2 linked regions of the Macaca fascicularis genome follow. The protein of the gene in region 1 purifies or fractionates together with the protein of each later gene. This does not show direct contact. Links are inferred from orthologs where the notes say so. Each region holds a gene or a part of one and is shown on either strand. Other genes may lie near its edges. The genes, in order: PPIE and AQR.

What was found.
Region 2: the proteins of PPIE (region 1) and AQR purify together in Homo sapiens (affinity purification with mass spectrometry; 5 studies listed by BioGRID and IntAct, counting the BioPlex papers as one, with this or other methods). This does not show direct contact. The link is inferred for Macaca fascicularis from reciprocal best matches to the Homo sapiens genes PPIE and AQR.

Annotation. Positions count from the first base shown.
Region 1 is NC_088375.1:195,146,348-195,150,114, reverse strand, and holds the end of PPIE (peptidyl-prolyl cis-trans isomerase E), read left to right. Parts: intron 1-1,071; coding exon 1,072-1,562; 3' UTR 1,563-3,104; downstream 3,105-3,767. UniProt on the Homo sapiens protein: Involved in pre-mRNA splicing as component of the spliceosome. Combines RNA-binding and PPIase activities.
Region 2 is NC_088381.1:11,494,977-11,499,345, reverse strand, and holds the start of AQR (RNA helicase aquarius), read left to right. Parts: upstream 1-1,549; 5' UTR 1,550-1,684; coding exon 1,685-1,759; intron 1,760-2,781; exon of another isoform or gene 2,782-2,928; intron 2,929-4,369.

The sequences.
Region 1 (3,767 bases):
ATGATGTTGAACATCTTTTCATGTGCTTGTTGGCCATTTATATATGTTCTTTGGAGAACTATCTCTTCAAATCTTTGGCTTATATATTAACTGGATTGTTTGTTTTGTTTTTTTAAGAGACAGGATCTTGCTCTGTCTCCCAGGCTGGAGTGCAGTGGTGAGATCATGGCTTACTGTAGCTTTGAACTGTTGACCTCCAGTGATCCTCCTACCTTGACCTCCCAAAGCACTGGGATTACACCTTGCCTGGCCATTTTGTTGTTGAATTACAGGAGTTCATTATATATTCTGGATATTAAACCCATATTAAATATGATTTGCAAATCAGCATTCTCCTGTTCTGTAGGTTGCTTTGCCCTCTGTTGGTACAGTTTTTTGATGCACATCTTAAATTTTAATTCACATCTAATTATTTTTTCTTTCACCTGTGCTTTTGGTGTGACATTTAAGAAACCATTGCCAAATCCAGAGTCATGAAGATTTGCCCCTATGTTTTCTTCTAAGATCCTTTGGTTTTTCTTTTAAAAAATCAGTTTCCTACCAATTTAGTGTGGTTTTGGAAGAGAAAAGAGCTAGAACATGTATATTCAATCCCCTTTCATCATAATCTCTTAGAGTCCTGGCCAGGTGTGGTAGCTCACACCTGTAATCCCAGCACGTTGGGAGGCCAAGGCAGGCGGATCATCTGAGTTAGGAGTTCTAGACCAGCTTGGCCAACATAGTGAAACCCCATCTCTACTAAAAATACAACGTTAGCCAGGTGTATGGCGCATGCCTATAGTCCCAGCTACTCGAGAGGCTGAGGCAGGGGAATGACTTGAACCCAGGAGGTGGAGGTTGCAGTGAACTGAGATTGTGCCATTGCACTCCATCCTGGGCGACAAGAATGAAACTCCATCTCAAAGAAAAAGAATCCCTTAGTCCTTACAAGGTTACTATCACAAAGGTTTATAATGAGTATCCCTTATTTTAAAACAAAAATATGAACATTAAACAAGTTTTTTTGAGGTTTTGTTTGTTTTATTTTGTTCTGTTTTTTAACCCCAGCGCTTTTTCCTTTCTCAATTCTAGAGAATTTCCGCTGCCTGTGCACCCATGAAAAGGGCTTTGGCTTTAAAGGAAGCAGCTTCCACCGCATCATCCCCCAGTTCATGTGCCAGGGCGGTGATTTCACAAACCACAACGGTACTGGGGGCAAGTCCATCTATGGGAAGAAGTTCGATGATGAAAACTTTATCCTCAAGCACACAGGACCAGGTGGGAGCCAGCTGGCATGTGATGAGGGAGGCTTAGCAAGGGTGGGATGGCCACGCAGGATGAAAGGACAGGTTGTGGTTCTGGCTGACGGGACTAAGAGTCTGGAGGTGACCCAGCCACCAGACGCAGGAGAACCATGCAGCCTTGCTAGGGTGGAGTTGGCTTGCTTATATTCAGGTATTATCCATCCCCCAACTGTGTCCACACTTCCCATTATCCCAGCTTGGATTCTGTGGTCTGCCGTTGCAAGCGCATATGCCCTCAACCCCACTGCTCTCCCTGCCCCTGCCATCAGATTTACTTAGTAAAAGCTCGGTGGTTAGTCCCCCAGCAACTAGAGAAAAAACACAGAATTGTACTGAACGATCCCACTTGAAATTTATAACTATAGTTCTTAAGGGGGCCCTTGCCAACCTGACCAGATTTCCCTACTTGATGCTCAGTCCCAGCCAGAGATGATGTGTCCATGCCTGTCTTCACTTCTGAAGCCTTATATCATCACCTTCCCACCTCATCTAGTGCTTCGCCTCCTGCATCTCTCCACTCGTGCATGCTCTTTCTTCCAATTACAGGGGATGAGCTCTCTCTCGTAGGCCAGCCCCTCCACCTGTGGACTGGATCCCATCCCTCTCCTCTAGTTAGGAACATGGCTTCTAAAGTTGTCCCCTTCAGTCCATTAGCAAGAAAGCATGCAGTTATCAACCTTTAAAAAAATCTGCATCCGGTTGCCGGGTGCAGTGGCTCATGCCTGTGATCCCAGCATTTTGGGAGGCAGAGGCAGGCAGATCACCTGAGGTCAGGAGTTGGAGACGAGCCTGACTGACGTGGAGAAACCCCGTCTCTACTAAAAATACAAAATTAGCTGGGCATGGTGGCGCGTGCCTGTAATCCCAGCTACTTGGAAGGCTGAGGCAGGAGAATCACTTGAACCCGGGAGGCGAAGGTTGCGATGAGCCAAGATGGCGCCATTGCACTCCAGCCTAGGCAACAAGAGTGAAACTCCATCTCAAAAAAAAAAAGAAAAAAGTCTTCATCTTAGTACTCTTGTTCCCTCTCCAGCTATCACCCATGCCTCTGGTCCCCCATCTTTTTTCAAGAAGTAAAAGCATAACTTCTTGAAAGCATGGTACAGACTTGCTGCCTTCGCGTTTTCTCTAATCCCTTCTAGCCAGACTTCTAGTCCCATCTTGCCATTGAAACCACTCTTCAAAGATACCAGTAGCCAGTTCTTGGCGATCATCTTATCCCACCTCCCAGATGTTATCCCATCTCCCAGGAGCATTTCATACTACAGGTTGAATGTCCCTTTCTTGAAATGCTTGGGACCAGAAGTATTTTGTATTTTGAAATATTTGCATTATATTTACCAGTTGAGCATCCCAAATTGGAATATCTCAAATCTGAAATGCTCCAGTGAGCATTTCCCTTTGAGCATCATGTCGGTGCTCACGAAGTTTCAGATTTTGGAGCATTTTGGATTTTCACATTTGGGATGCTCAGCCTATACTAACTGTGTGCTCCTTGACTCCTTCACTTGGCTGGCAGGACTCCTACCTCTTCTTGTCTCCTTTTACCTAGATGGCTGCTTTGTCTGTCTTTGCTGTCTCCTTCTTTTCCTGACCCTTAAACACTGAAGTGGCTCAGAGCCCATTCTTTTGTTCTCCAGAAGCCTGTTACCCTGTGCTCCGTTTTTCTAACTGGTGGTTTGTAGAGCCCCTCTTTACTATACTGAACCGATATGTGTAGGTGATATAGCCCACTGACCCACACCATTATTTTAAAACTCAATATATCTGTAACTATAGTAGGGAAGAACATCAGAGGAAATAAATGAATTTGCATAGTAATCGAATGTGTTTCCAGATGTACATGCTTAAGCACAGCTGTGTCAGAACACAAAGTGAAGTTATTCAGGCGTCTGCACCTGTACTCAAATGCAGAGTTAGAAGTGTAGACGGGAGTGTCAACTGATAACTTGGATACCACTAGCAATGATGCTATTGGTGATACGACTTTGTGAAATGGTAAAGTTGATTAGATTCCAAAGTAAAGAATAATCTGTTTATTTACATAGTAGTTACATTCCTAGAAGATTCCATGCAAAACCAAAAGAACTCCAAAACTTTGGGCTTATATGTATAATGCAATTATGTTTTAGGTGCAGATAACTGTAAACACATTTTTTCCCTATACCGATATCTAATGGGCTATTCGTTGTTTTGTTGTTGTTGTTTGGTTTTTGTTTTTTTGAGATAGGGTCTCTGTTGCTCAGGCTGGAGTGCAGTGGTGCAAGACAGCTCACTGTAGCCTCAACCTCTCCAGCTAAAGCAGTCCTCCTGCCTAAGCCTCCCAAACAGCTGGGATTACAGGTGCACGCCATCCATAATGCCCGGCTAATTTTTAAGTTTTTTTGTAGAGATGAGGTTTCATTGTATTGCTCAGGCTAGTCTGGAACTCTTAGCTTCAAGTGATCCTCCCACTTCAGCCTCCCAAAGTGCTGGGATTACAGG
Region 2 (4,369 bases), on another chromosome or scaffold:
AACAAACAAACAAAAAAACATACCTATCGTATAACCCAAATATTTCACTCCTAGGTATTTAAGAGCAAAGGAAGTATATGTCCATATGAAGACTTATACACAAATGCTCATAGCAGCTTTATTTATAGTAACTAAGAACTTGGAACAACTCAGATGTCTATCAGCAGATGAATAGTTTATCAAACTGTGGTATGCCAGTAAAATGGAATGAATGTTAAGCAATAAAAAAGGAATGAACTACTGATACATGCAACAACATGAATCCATCTCAAAATCATTTCGTTGAGTGAAAGAAGGCATGCACTGTATTATTTCATTTATATAAAATTTCACGAAAAGCAAACTTTGGTGACAGAAAGCAGATCAGTGGTTGCCTGGAAAGTGGGTGGGAATAGTGAAAGGTACAGATTGCAAAAGTGCAGGAGGAAATTTTTAGGGGCTCATTATCATGATTTTGGCAACAGTTTCACAAATGTATGTTCATGTCAAAACGCATCAAATTTTACAACCTAAATATGTGTGGGTTATTGTATGTCAATTATTTTTATTATTATTTTATTTTTGTTTTTTGAGACGAGTCTCGCTCTGTCACCAGGCTGGAGTGCAATGGCACAATCTTGGCTCACTGCAACCTCTGCCTCCCTGCTTCAAGCGATTCTCCTGAATCCGAGTAGCTGGGACTACAGGCGAGCGCCACCATGCCCGGCTAATTTTTTTGTATTTTTTAGTAGAGACGGGGTTTCACCATGTTAGGGAGGTTGGTCTCGAATTCCTGACCTCAGGCAATCGGCCAGCTTCAGCCTCCCAAAATGCTGGGATTACAGGCATGAGCCACCGCGCCCGGCTGGGTTATGGTATGTCAGTTTTTACCGCCATAAAACTGTTAAGGCCTGTAATCCCAGTCCTTTGTGGGGCCGAGGCAGGTGGATCACCTGAGGTCGGGGAGTTCGAGACCAGCCTGACCAACATAGAGAAACCCCATCTCTACTAAAAATACAAAAATTAGCCGGGTGTGGTGGCGCATGCCTGTAATCCCTGTAATCCCAGCAACTCGGGAGGCTGAGGCAGGAGAATCGCTTGAACCCGGGAGGCGGAGGTTGCAGTGAGCCGAGATTGCGCCACTGCACTCCAGCCCGGGCAACAAGAGCGAAACGCCGTCTCAAGAAAAACAAAACTAAACTACAACACTGTTAAGGGCAGTTAAAAACCAGCCCATATTCCCAGGCTGTTTTTTTGTTTGTTTGTTTTGTTTTGTTTTTTCTTCGGGGTTGAAAAAAACCTAAATTCTCATTCACCGCACACGCTGCTCCTCACTAACCACGAGAAACCCCATCCAACACCATCCACCGGGTCCCTGCCTTGCCCTCCTAATCCCGCCAGCGGGGTGTCTTCTCTCTGCCGCCCGCTAGAGGGCGCGTACAGAGGAGGTCAAAGCTTTTGGCTCGCTAGCTCAGCCCCAACGCCTGCATGAACTTCCGGCTACACGCCATTCCGCTTCCCGGGGAACGCTTGGGCTGTAGTACGGGTTCCCTATGGGACTCTGAAGCCTGAGGATATCCGGCGCGCAACGTTTGTTCAGCGCGGAGTTAAGCGCCTCGGCCGTAACTTAGGGGAAGTGGACCAGGCTTGCCGCTGCCCAGGGCGGTCCTTTCGTTTCCACCGGAGTGGAGGGGAGCGTGCTACCATGGCAGCCCCTGCACAGCCCAAGAAGATCGTGGCCCCTACGGTGTCCCAGATTAACGCGGAGTTCGTGACCCAGGTGAGCTCGGGCGAGTCTGGTGTATGTGTGAGGGGGTAAGGACGTCGTGGCCCCGAGGCCTGGTGGTGGGGTTTTTTCTTTTTTTTTCCAGGACTAGGAGCACGGAGGAGGCATTCGTTTGTTAATTCATTCACACAAGTCTTTTTTGCTGAGTATGAGCTCCGTGCCGGCAGCTACGCTAGGTGCTGGGCATACCGTGGTGGATGGGTTGCCCTGGCCTGAGGGGTTCATGGCCTAAGAAAGACACATAGGCCGGGCGCGGTGGCTCAAGCCTGTAATCCCGGCACTTTGGGAGGCCGAGACGGGCGGATCACGAGGTCAGGAGATGGAGACCATCCTGGCTAACACGGTGAAACCCCGTCTCTACTAAAAAAATACAAAAAACCTAGCCGGGCGAGGTGGCGGCGCCTGTAGTCCCGGCTACTCGGGAGGCTGAGGCAGGAGAATGGCCTGAACCCGGGACACGGAGCTTGCAGTGAGCTGAGATCCGGCCACTGCACTCCAGCCTGGGCGACAGAGCGAGACTCCGTCTCAAAAAAAAAAAAAAAAAAAAAAAAAAGACACATAAAAAGAAAACTACTCTATGAGTTTTGCTGTATTGGAGTTTGCCTCAGGAGCAATTGATTCAGAGAGGAGGGAACACCCCAATCTATCTGAGACTGTCAAGCAGCCTTCGCAGCAGAGTGATGCTGGACTGCCTCTTCAAGTAGGAGTAGGCTTTTTCCTGGTCCGTAGAGTGTCCTGAGTTTTTGAGCAGCTATGAGAAACTGACAAGACACCTCCAAATAGACCCATTTAAGAAGAGAGTGATTCTGTAGTTGGAGAGCGTTCATTTAGAATCTGTTTACTATCTTGCATTGTGAGCCACAGTTGGCTTTGGATAGGGAAACACAGTCCTGTGGTTGTCAGCATCATTCCTCATTCTTACTCTTTATTTGCGAATTGCGTAAGAGTGTAAGTAGTTCAGTGTAGAAGTTATCATGCCCACCTGCTTCTTTATTCTTTATTCCTTGTCTCAACAGATTTGTCAGGGCAGAAGCCTAGGGAGAAATTTTGAATCCTCCCTTAATCCCTACATTTCTACATTCTGAGTATCTTTGGAATCTATCTGGTGTTCTACATCTCTGTCACCCTAAGCCTGGTTGCCATTGTTTTCTGCCTGGACGAAGGTATCCTAATCTGTTATATTGTTCTTCTTCTTGCTGTCCTCTAGCCCATTCTTCATGTTGCTTTCCGAGTGATTTTATACAAGTGCAAATCTCATCATATCACTTGCCTTCTTAAAATCTCTCCCTTCCTTTCCTTCCTTTTCTTCTTTCAAGATAGGGTCTCACTATGTTGCTCGGGCTCAAGTGATCCTTCCACCTCAGCCTCCCTTGTAGCGGGGACTACAGGGAACTACACTAAGGCTGACTGTCCTTAAAATCTTCAACCGGGCACGGTGGCTCATTCCTGTAATACCAGCACTTTGGGAGGCTGAGGCTGGTGGATCACCTGCGGTCAGAGTTTTAGACCAGCCTGACCAACATGGAGAAACCCCGTCTCTGCTAAAAATACAGAATTATCCAGGCGTGGTGGTGCATGCCTGTAATCCCAGCTTCTCAGGAGACTGAGGCTAGAGAATTGCTTGAACCCGGAAGGCGGAGGTTGCAATGAACCAAGATCCTCCCCAGAATAACTGGGGGTGAGGTGAAGATTTTCTATTGAGTTGGAGAGTGATTGGTAATTTGGGAAGGTGTTATTTATTTATTTATTTTTGAGATGGAGTCTTGCTCTGTTGCCCGGACTGGAGTGCAGTGGCTTGGTGTTGGCTCACTGCAATCTCCGCCTCCCAGGTTCAAGCGGTTCTCCTGCCTCAGCCTCCCGAGTAGCTGAGATTATAGGTACACAACCACCACGCCCGGCTAATTTTTGTATTTTTAGTAGAGATGGGGTTTTACCATATTGGCAAGGCTGGTCTTGAACTCCTGACCTCAGGTGATCCACCCGCCTCGGCCTCCCAGAGTGCTGAGATTACAGGCGTGAGCCACCACACCTGGCCGGAAGGTGTCATTTAAGTAGGAAGTTACTGTAATATTTTTAGAGGCTATTCCTCAGGGCCAGTGTCCTAACTGCTTGGGAGGCTCTTTAAGTGTGTTGTCTGTGCAGTTTATCGCTGAGCTATGAAAGCAAAGAAAACAGGTCCCATCTCTTAAGTATTCCAATTAAGTGAGAAGGAAAGTTGGATAAGCAATCATTTATAATGTAGAAAGGTAAGATTATAAAGAGTTATATACAAAATGAAGATGAAAAAGCAATTGTCGCCATCAGGTAGTGTTGAGGACAGCCTCACAGAAGTAACATTTCAGATTTTGCTTCATTTGTCCATCCATTTATCCATCAGACTTTGTGAGTGCCTCTGATATGCCAGATACTGCAGTCACCTTTTTATAAATATATTGAGTCTTTGTGCTTGCCAGTTTTCTATTTTTAAAGAGATTATAATTGGGTTTTAAAATAAAACCCTATGAGTAAGACTATGCTGTTTCTTTAAATATGTAGAGAGAGTTATATATTTGTTTAAATTTCACAGTTTACAGGTAAAGCCTAATCTGCTGAAATATGCCAACT